Linked DNA regions of Drosophila melanogaster. Changing the gene in region 1 together with any one later gene gives a genetic interaction. Each region holds a gene or a part of one and is shown on either strand. Other genes may lie near its edges.

Evidence for each region.
Region 2: of noc (region 1) and Elal, changing one enhances a phenotype caused by changing the other (phenotypic enhancement), as found in Drosophila melanogaster (one study listed by BioGRID).

What each region holds. Positions count from the first base shown.
Region 1 is NT_033779.5:14,489,106-14,494,826, reverse strand, and holds noc (no ocelli), read right to left. Parts: upstream 3,969-5,721; 5' UTR 3,582-3,968; coding exon 3,492-3,581; intron 3,190-3,491; coding exon 1,666-3,189; 3' UTR 808-1,665; downstream 1-807. UniProt on the Drosophila melanogaster protein: May negatively regulate Notch-induced cell proliferation in the eye-head primordium. Required for development of the supraesophageal ganglion and ocelli.
Region 2 is NT_033777.3:24,863,353-24,868,287, forward strand, and holds Elal (Elastin-like), read left to right. Parts: upstream 1-1,997; 5' UTR 1,998-2,017; coding exon 2,018-2,492; intron 2,493-2,659; coding exon 2,660-3,174; 3' UTR 3,175-4,299; downstream 4,300-4,935. Other genes in the region: CG7016 (uncharacterized protein), read left to right, coding at 1-717; Srg1 (Sting-regulated gene 1), read right to left, coding at 926-1,354.

The DNA.
Region 1 (5,721 bases):
TCGCTTTGTCAGCGATTTTTTTATATGTACATACATACGTACATATGCACACATATTCATTTATATATGCATTTGAGTTGCTCATTGAATGGCAATTGATTTTTGTTATACACATTGTTGGTACAAATGTGATTTTTATTGATTTTTAATTTTCAGCTTGGGTGTTTTATGACTGTTGCCGGCGACTGTTTTATTAAGGCTTGCCCAATCAAGTTATTTACCCCACCCCTCGTGAAATTGAAATTTGCTTTTGATTTGATTTTTTAGGCTGAATACGAATCGCTGCATACAAATTGAGTGCGCTTAAAATGCAACAAGCAATGCAAATTAATAGTACTAATTTGAATTTCAAATGTGTTAGGTGAGATGGGGAAACCCAGATTTCTTCGAGTGCATCCAGAAAAAATTGAGAGCACATTAAAATACCTTTTGTCTAAAATAAAACTAATTAAAATATTTTTAAAGAATAACCTATAAGATTTTATTTATTTATTTGCCTAGAACCTTACATTTAATATCAATGATACTTATAAGAAGCAGTTCAATTCTCAGAATTAAAAACTCCTTTAGTCCCATTTCTAAGTAAGAACTATAAAATTAAGAGAATTAGACCTTGTTATGGTTTCCGGAATTTGCCACTCAGCCTTATGTAAATATAATTGAAAACCTAGTGGAGCATTATCAGCAATATTTATGACCCATATGTGAGCTAGCCAAACAGCGCAGATAACCGAAGCGAAATTATGGCCCAACAAAAAGTTTTCCAGCTGTAAAAGAGTTTGTTTCAAAAGAAAAGATTCGTGGTTTATGCTTCTAAAAATTGTTTTTTCTTGTATATTTCTCAGTTTTATACGAATGTGTTGCATGTAGTTTAAGTTATTTTTGTTTGATATTCCGTGGCTTCTTGTGTAGATCGTATTGTGGTTTGCGTACATCAAGGAGTAAATAGCAAATCTAGTTTATATTTATAGAATTTACACACAGTACATAATTATATGAAATATTCATTTTTATTTTTCGTAATTATTATTATTTTTTTTTAATTTTTTATCTCTGATTGGTTGGTATTACAAATATTCATTACACTTACTTTAAATATAAGTTGACTTAAAGAACATTATTTCAATTGTTGGTTTGTTGTATGCTTGCAGATAATCGTAATAATAGTTAATAGAACTTAAAGCGAAGTTAAACTAAAACAATGTTTGAACATCTCAGCAATGGGTTCTTCATTAACAAAATTGGAAGTTGTAGAATGTGTTCTGGCTAAGACTTAAAAAACTTTGGTTGAACTTTGAGAACAAATAAGAGTGAGTGAACTTCGTGTTGGCTGCACTTCTTTTTACCTAACAATGTAGACATTTACGATGATAGAAGAGAGTGATCCTGCTATTTTTGCGGCTACTACTGTTCTTTAGGTGGTTGATTATTTTCTGTTTGCGAAACTTAAGTGTAACTAGCGCTCTTTAAACTACAGTTTAGTATCACAGAATAGCGCAAAAGCCAGAGATGTGTCAGCCTTTGCAATCGTTTTGTGCTTTTATCTTTTTTGTTTTCCATGAAAGTATCTCAAACAGGGTTTGGAAATGGTTTCATTCTATATCTCTGGTTGTCTCTTCAACGTAATCCCCTTTTTTTTGGTATTTAACTCTTGTGGAAGTCACTTTACTGATGAGCCGCTCCCATCCTCTGGCCGTACATGGCGTATGGCGAGTAGTAGGGTCCCAGAGCAGCTGCCGCAGCCGCCGCGGCAGGATTGAATGCTCCAGCGGCGCCGAAGGGCGAAGGTCCTCCAGCCAAGGCGCCTGGTGGTGGCTTGGCGTATGGATGATACCTCGCCGCTGCCGCAGCCGCTGACATGGGACTCAGTGGTGGTGTTGGATAGCCAGCTCGGAGAGCCGATGGCGGAAATAGGGTTCCCAGCAGGGATTGAGCCTGCGATTGGGCCAAGGCCGCCGCAGCAGCCGCCGGATCGGAGAGATTGCCCGTATGGGTGCGCAGGTGGGAGAAGAGCTCGTCGGAGGTCTGGAATCGCTTGCCGCAGTAGGCATCGCCCACCACCCAACTGCACACGTAGGGTGCCGAACGGGCTGCCGCCGCGTTTGCCGCAGCAGCGGCCGCTGCCTGCGAGTATGGATGAGCTGGTGGCAGTCCGGCGGCACTGGCCATGGCCAGGCCGTATTTCTGATGCTCGCACTGGGTGCATCCGGCGGGGCAGGGGGCACCCATGAGCATTTGTTGCGTGTGCGCCGAGTAGGGACATCCCTGGCAATACGGATCCTTGCAGACTGGCACTATAGCCTCGCCGCCAGCTGGTGTCTTGATGCGCTGATAACTTATGTACGGATTGGGCTGTCCGGCTGGTCCACCGCCGGGAGCTCCGCCTGGATATCCTCCATTGGCGGCAACTGCCAACATGGCGGCGTGATGGTGTGAGAATCCTCCGGCAAACGGTGGCCGGAAAGCGGGATTGGCGTGCTGCTCCATTCCGGGCGGGCAGCACAGGGCGGACAGGGGATTCAGCCCATAGGGTCCGGCGGCCTTGTAAGCCGCTGCTGCTGCTGCTGCCGCCGCAGCCATGCTGCTCATTTCCTTGGGATGCTGGGCGGTTCCGTTGGCATTGTTCAGCACCTCCATGCCGGAGCGCACAATGGGACTGGCGCCGCGTTGCGACGATCCCGACGGGGAGACAGTCTTTCGGCTGGATGAGGAATCGTGCGCGGAAATCTCCGCCTTGCCGCCATCTGTGGGCGTGGCATTTGATTTGCTGCGCGATGGCACACGCTCCTGGGCGGATGAGGAGTTCTTAGAGCTGGGACGCGTGGGTTCCGCATCCAGCGAAGAGCTGCTCTTGAAGGAGTTCTGGTTCTGGTGGCTCAGCACATTGGTCTCGTAGGGCTTGAAGGCCAGTTTGATTTCACCGGTGCTGGTATTACTCAGACTTGCGCTGGTTGCCGTCGAGCTGATTGGAGTGCTCGACTTGGGCGATTTGGCCTGGCCGGAGGGTGACTTGGCTGCCGAGATCTCAGCACTGCCCGAGGAACTCGACGAGTTCGACGACGAGGAGCATGCTCCGGGCTTTGTCTTGTTCTTGTCCATTGCCAGCAGGGGTTTCACTGCCGACGAATCCGCTCCAATTTGGGAGCAAGTCTGTGCGAGCAGAGCCAAGGGACTCTTTTTGGCGTCCATCTGTTATGAATAAAATGAAAATGTGGAGTTGGAATTAGGTTTTTTGTAATTTTAAAGTTTTTTACGAGTTTTAAGATAATATTGATTTTAATTTGGTGAGAAGTTAAAACTATGAGAAAATGCAATTTCTTCCAAAGAAAGTTTGTTCGTGAAAGTATTAATGACGATATAAATTTTTAGATTTGAAAAATTGTTTGATGTTATGAACTTTCCAAATTTAATTCTTAAGTACGCAAAATTTAAAACCATAGATTTTACGGCCATCCCAAAATTTTACAGCTTTTAACTTAGTCAATACTAACCGTCGTTGGCAATGGGGCCAGATAATCCGGTTGAAGGTACTGGTTGTTACCGATGGTAACAACGCCGCCGCCTCCTTCCAAGACAACCATATCAGTTGCTTAGTGTGTTTTCTCGAGGGTAATCCACGTGAGTTGCGAGACAAGGCTACAAATGCGTAGCTTTGCTTCGGCGACGATGAGGTTAATCCACAGAAATGCGTCGGCAAACGTTGGTAAATCCAAAGAAAATCGGCGATTTAACACACTTGTAGTTTTGAGCAGAGAATTTATCTCTGTAGCACTATTTCAATTTGCTGGCCAAGCGATTTGTGTTTTGGCTCTGATTTCACTTTTTCACTCGAAACGAAACACTCTCGATCAGTGACCACAGTTGACTGAGGTTTCTTATTTTTGTTGGTTATATCTCTTGTCACTCGAATGGTTTTCAGGTTTTTCCGAACACGTCTGAACGCTGCGAAGTCAAAATTCGAATTGAATTCAACGACTGCGGCAGCGAGCGTAACTGCCCTCGCAGCGAAGCGTTCGCTCACTCGCGAGAGAGCGCTCTCCGGCGAGCAGCGCTGCACACTTTGGCTTGCTGCCTGCGTTAGAGGAGCACCGCCTGCTGCATGCGAGCGAGATGCACTGTGCGTAATTTTCAAATATGGCGTACTTTTTGTCCAATCACAATCGCATGCGCCTTGCAATGGAAGCCAAGACAGGTTTTCTCTCTCTCGCTCTCCGATTTGGCTTCCTGTAAAATCATAATAATATGGCTGCACCACGGCAACACTCGTCCAGAGAGCAACAGTTGAGCGCTGAGAGCGCCGCTCAGTGAGTTGTTGTTGTTGTGGCTGCTTTGGGGGGCACATTAATTTTATCTTGGCACATATGTCACGCTCACTCTCCCTCTCTGTGTCTCTCTGGGGGAACTTTTTCTTGATGGGGCTGTCAGCAGCAGCAGCGCTGCAGTGGTGGCGGCAGCGGCGCGGCAGAGGCCTCATTGTCTTCGCACCGAGATTTGTTGCTCGGAAAAGCAAACCACTCAACACTTAAACACACTCTTCAACCATTTCCATCGCCTCGCTTCGCTCGTTTTAATGTCATATAAAAATTAATTTGTTTGTCGCTCTCCCGCTCTGGCACTTCACCTCTCTCCCTCTGACCCGCTCACTCGCACAGCTGTTGTTGTGGCCTTTGTTTAGCGTTTTTCGATTAACTTCTGCGGTTGGTTTTCCCTCTTTTTTTTCGTGGCTCCTGTTTTGCTGTTTAAGTGGAAATCGTTGTTTTGTTGTCGCGTCGAAAAGTTTTTCCAAGCAATTTTTCCTCCTTCCTTGGTGTGTGTGTAATTAATCTGCACATATCAAACAAGCGAATGTGTGTTGTGGCATGTTGCACTCAGAGAGTTGGTAATAGTTTAATGGTTTGGTTAACTCCGCTGCATTTTTAATCGCTCTACAATTGGATTGAATTTTCCAGTTAGCACTTGCCTAACTTACTTATTTACGTTTCGCACGAAATCGCGTTAATCACGTTGCTTGGTTTCAAGATAATTACTGAATACTAATAATGTTTAATTGCAAAACGAGGCTGATTTATATTAAATTATTAAGAGCTAATAATAGGCTAGCTCCTTCTAAACATAATTGATTACTATTATTTAAGTAGTTAGAAAATATTATGTGACTAATCATTTAGATTTTGTTGATCTAGATCATTCTAGCCACTTTACCTAACCGATATTAAAACTCCAACGTAATCCCAACCAAATCGGTTGGACTAACCATAAACTATGTATCAAGATGTTTAACTCAAGCCCCGAGGGGATTTTGGAATATCTGGCCCTTGGGATATGTTACCTAATCACCAAGCTGAGTTTTAAGAACCCTTCAAAGCCCCTGGCAAGTAAATTAAAATCTGTATAAATATGGACGATAAGCCGAAAACCCAGAAGCGACACTTTTAATCCCGATTTAGAGTGTTTAGACATTTTTCTGTGGGAATCCCTAAGCCGAAACCCGGCAGCGAAATACCTTCGAGGCTAAAACAGGTAGAGGAAACACTCTCGGCCTTCGGCGAAATGATGGATTTATTAGTTAAGAGCGTGCTGCGATACTTTACGATACGGCTTAGACATAATTTGCGGTTTTGCGTGCAACAAAGCGAAAAAAGTGTTGCCAAAATAATGTATATACGTGTATATATGCATGTATACTGCTGCAGAGTTGGAGAGTTTACGCACACGTTCCAT
Region 2 (4,935 bases), on another chromosome or scaffold:
AATCAGAATCAACCCGGATTTGACTGGGTTCAAACAGGATTTGCACCAGGCTGGAATGGAGGTGGAGGGCAAGGACCAGGATGGAATGGTCCAGGATGGAACGGAGGCGGTGGAAGAGGACCTCCACCAAGACCAGGTTTTAACGGCGGCGGACCACCGCCGCCAAGACCAGGATGGAACGGCGGCGGGCCACCACCACCGATGCCAGGCTGGAATGGAGGAGGGCCACCGCCACCAAGGCCAGGATGGAATGGCGGAGGACCTCCGCCACCAAGGCCAGGCTGGAATGGAGGGATGGAACAGGAATGGGATAACTATCCACGCCTCCCCGATCAGCCGGATCCCAATGATCCAAACACGAATTGGAATCCAGATAATGAGTCTAGCACCACTCCACAAACGCCAATACCAGGACCCATCTTTCCAACGACAACACCTAAGCCAGAGCCCACCTTTCCCACGATCCAGCCACGTCCAACCGCTCAGCCAACGAAGGATACGCTCATAATAGGAACCAATCGACCGCCGTTGGTGCCGCCCCATAATCCGGATCCACCCACGCCCACTTTTCCCACTTGGATCGTGCCGGAGCCATTGCCAAAACCATTGGACGAACTCTCCGAAAATCGTGCTATTATATTCCCCAGCTCTAGCAAATATATCCATGTGCCAAACCCGGAGGTTCCCTCAATTCCCATTGATGTGAGACGAAGATGAATCTTCTAAGAGGGAGTTCCCCGATTCACACTTGTTGTATATATATTCGTAGACCATTGTTCAATTGCTCCACCCGAGATCGTCTTTGTCATAAGTTCAAAACAGGTTCTAAAAGCTCGTTGGAAATAAACGAAATTTTAATAAATTACACATAAACAAATGAGACAGCACATGATTGGATGAGACTGGGGTATCTGACGGATGAACGTTAGTAACCCCGCTGCTTGTAACCACCTCCACCTCCGTAAAGATCCTGATTCTTGTGCGGATAATGGACACTGGCAGGATGAGACGGCTGAGAGTAGTATCCAGGCGAAGGACGCACTGACCAAGGTGGTGGATAGTAGTCATTTGCTGCCGGAACCGGTCGTGGTGGGTAATAGGCATAGCCACCTGGATGCGTCTGCTGGTGGCTACCACCGTAGCCGTAGCCTCCACCATAGTGATAGTCGTAGCCCTGCTCGTAGCCCTCCTGGATGAGTGGACCTGGTCCAGGATGTAGCTGTGGATCAACTGGCCTTGCTGGCGGATAATGATTTGGGTCGCCGAACAGAAGCTCCGCAATCTTATCGAAAGTGGGTCTACCGTGGGCCAAGCTGGCCAGGATTAGCACTAGAATCGCAGCCAACAACTGCATCTTGGGATATGTAGAGCAATTTTGCTGATAGTCCCAATGTCCATGCGGCTTTTATAGCCAGCAGCAGCACATGGCGATAAGAAAGATGAATGGAATCGAGTGGAAGAACCTTGGGTAATGGAACAAATGCTATATGTACATATGTACTTATAATACTAATCTATTGACTGGTAAACAAGGTTGACTGGGAAAGCTTTCGTTCTCTATATAAAGGGAGGATCATAACTCATGATCATCATCTATGCAAAGATGAGTTATGAATTGCTTGGGAAATCCCTAAACCAAAAATGCGTCTCAACTTATCTATTACTTGGCTTTAGGCCGCAAATTTATACATTGCAAGAAATTTATATATAACATTTATATTTATAAATTTGTATATGGGTATTTCTTTAAAAAATTCATTTATTTGTTCAAATTTATGGCTAGTATCTATGCATATGCACATTGTTGTGTTATATTTTCAACTTTTGCTTTCAGTGTAGACTCTCTCATTCAATTTACTAGAAAGAACACTCAATGAGACTTAAACTACATATCTGGGCATTGAGCCCCTGATGATAACCCCAAAAATAGACACTCAGCTAAGCTCTCGTGTCATCAGATCTCACCATGAAATACACGCGCCGTGAGCTTCTGGGCTTTAGTGTACCCAAAGACGCCATGTTAAGCAGGAGGGTCATCGCATTCGCCGCTCTGGCCCTCATCCAGATAGCCAGCGGTCAGGCCTCGCAATTCAGCAGGGACGAAAGTCAGGAGGATCAGAAGACGGAGTTTAACCTGGCCTCCACTCTGACGGGAGGCATTACCAGCAGTCGCCATCGCCAGCGGGCCAATCTCAATTCGCAACTTTATCCTGGCCTTGGTCAGCTGGGATCGGGTTATGCGGGCGCAACTGGATCCATCGACGATGCCCATGGCCATGAGCAGGGTGGCTCTGGCGTACGAGTGGCCAGTACGAACTCCGTTGTTTTTCCTGGCAACCAGTCACCAAATCCGGCACTCACAATTACAGGAGGTCACCAGATTCCCGCTTATCCGCCTCCGGGTTTTCCTGGACAACAGGCTCCAGTTCCGTACCCAGCTGCAGGAGGCTCTTCAGGAGGATCCTCATCATCCGGTGGTTACCAAAGTGCAGGTAGGTCCTTCTAATAGGTGGTTCATTTATCTTAGTGAAATCAGAAAACTAATATCAAGTCTTAACTCCCAAAAAAGTTATACAAAATTTAAAAGATTGGTGAATAGCAAATCCACATTTTGAAATATATATGAAATTATGATATTAATGAAATGTCCCCTTTTTAGGTGCTGTTTCTCCTCCTGGCTATCCTGTTGCTGGAGCAGTTCCTGCTCAGTATCCGGTGGGAGTTCCTCCCCAGCAGCCAGTGGGTGCAGGAGCACCTGGTTACTTCCCGGGAACTGGTGCCTATCCTGGCTATCCCTACCCCGGAGTATACTTGCCACAGTACCCAGCGTACCCTCAACCAGCCCAGTTCCCCGCCTATGGAGTGCTACCCGGAGCTGTGGCTCAACCAGGAGTTCCTGGAGTAGCTGGAGTTCCGGGAGCACCTGGAGTGGCAGGAGTGCCCGGAGCAGCTGGTCAGGCTCCTGCCACCAGCGGCATGAACTATCATCGCTATCCGGCTCACAATCCCGCTGATCCGAGCCATTGGGACCATCATTTCTCGATGAACACCGAGTACAAGGAGGATGGCGTCCACAAGGGACCATTTGGAGTGCTGAACAATCACAATGCCTTTGGCTATGGCAGTGGATATGGGGGCGGATACAACGGTGCCTTCAACTCGCCGGCCTACTGAAGCTGGCCGACATCATGGGTGGACCTCGGTGGTGGTGGTAGTGGTAATGGTGTTGGTGGGGCGTGAAGTAATCCGAGTCGTAGTCATAACTTCGCTGCTGCCTCCTTGGCCAGAGGCAGCTGTCTTTGCCTATCATCCTGTGTGTCCCTGCGAAATAAACTTGATTTCTGCACACCCAACCAAGATAATTAGCAATGCTGGCCAGTTACCAGTTGCACCTTGAACCGGAAAAAATAAAGCACATGCACTCGGCATTCTGCTCCCATACAGACAGCTAACCCAAGACATTCACATCCCATCCTTATTCTTTTCCTTATTCTTATGGCAATGCCGCTTCTTTTATCCGGCGTGGACACAATCGAAGACGACAGGAGCTACCTGGCTGGCAGGCAGCCGAAAAAAAGGGAACGCACAAAGGCAGGACTCTGGGCGAGCCAAAGGTGGTGGTAGAAAATCAGCGTCAGAGAGAGACGCTGTTACTGGTATTGGTACTCCTGGTGCCCTTCGCTGGACCCAACTGCAGCGACATAAATCGGCTGGGTTTCGCTGTGCAGCGGAAAAGAGAGGGCCGAAGGAAAGGAAAGGAACCCAACCAAGGGACGACGTCTTGATGTCTTGCGGCGCATGCGCAGCCTGCCGCGCAAATCCTTAACAAATTTTTGGCGCTAAAATGACGGACGAGCGCGCCAAAAGCAAGGAACCGCAGGAAACTCGAGAGAATCATGCCCGGGGTATACAGACTACGAGTATACAGACAGACACTTACACTCATGGATTATGAATGATTTGGACGGACGGTATCGGTGGTTTTTACCTGTAGCAAATCGAACCGATTCCAGCCAGGGTTTGATGTCCTTAGGTCATCAGCCATCAGCTGTTCTATGATGAGCGCGGAGAAAGGAGCACAGATTCAGCTGAGAGGATTCGAAACAAAGGAATTAGAATGGGTGGGGTAATGGGTATACTCACGGCAAAGAAGTCTAGATGTGCTAAACGTTTTCCCTTAACCTTTGACATCTAGGAGTTTATGCTCTGTTTCTAACAATTAAAGATTGAACTGCAACAAATACATACATTCCAGATTCTAGGAAATTGAAAATAATGCCCTAAATTATTTAATCCCCTAGGAACTAGGATCATTTCCAACATGCTGGATAAAGACAGCTAATTTAAAATACTTATTTAAAGTAAACATAAACACTAATGATACTACAATTGCATTCAACTAGTTATATCTGAGTTAATACTCACCCGATTTTGAAACTTCCATCAGGTTTTTAAAAGAGTTTTCTAGAAAGAAAAATAAAAATACGAATTTATTGCACTTACCCTATTAAAAGTAAGAATTTTTTCACTTCGCCCACCGTTTTCCGAATGTAATGATGGTAAAAAGATTGAAGTATTTTTGAACGGACGTAAAAATGTTTATTGGTATTCTCTCGCAAAACGATACATACATAACACTGAGTACATACATAACTAGTTACTTCAACAATGCAACGTTATCAACCATCCATGGATAAACGAGGTGAACTGAGGCAGGGCGGGGCGGGGCGGTATGATCAGGAACTGGGAAGTTGATGGTGAGCGTCCTTCGAGGGGCGGGAATGTGAGCGCAAGGAGGGGAGTCCATGAACGACTTAACAAATAACAGCATTAATAACGACGACAGGAACAGATGCACATGGCGTACATGGCGTGCACGGGACGAGGGTTGATCGCAGCGCATTTCCAGGTTGTACGGGACACACGTGCCTTTCA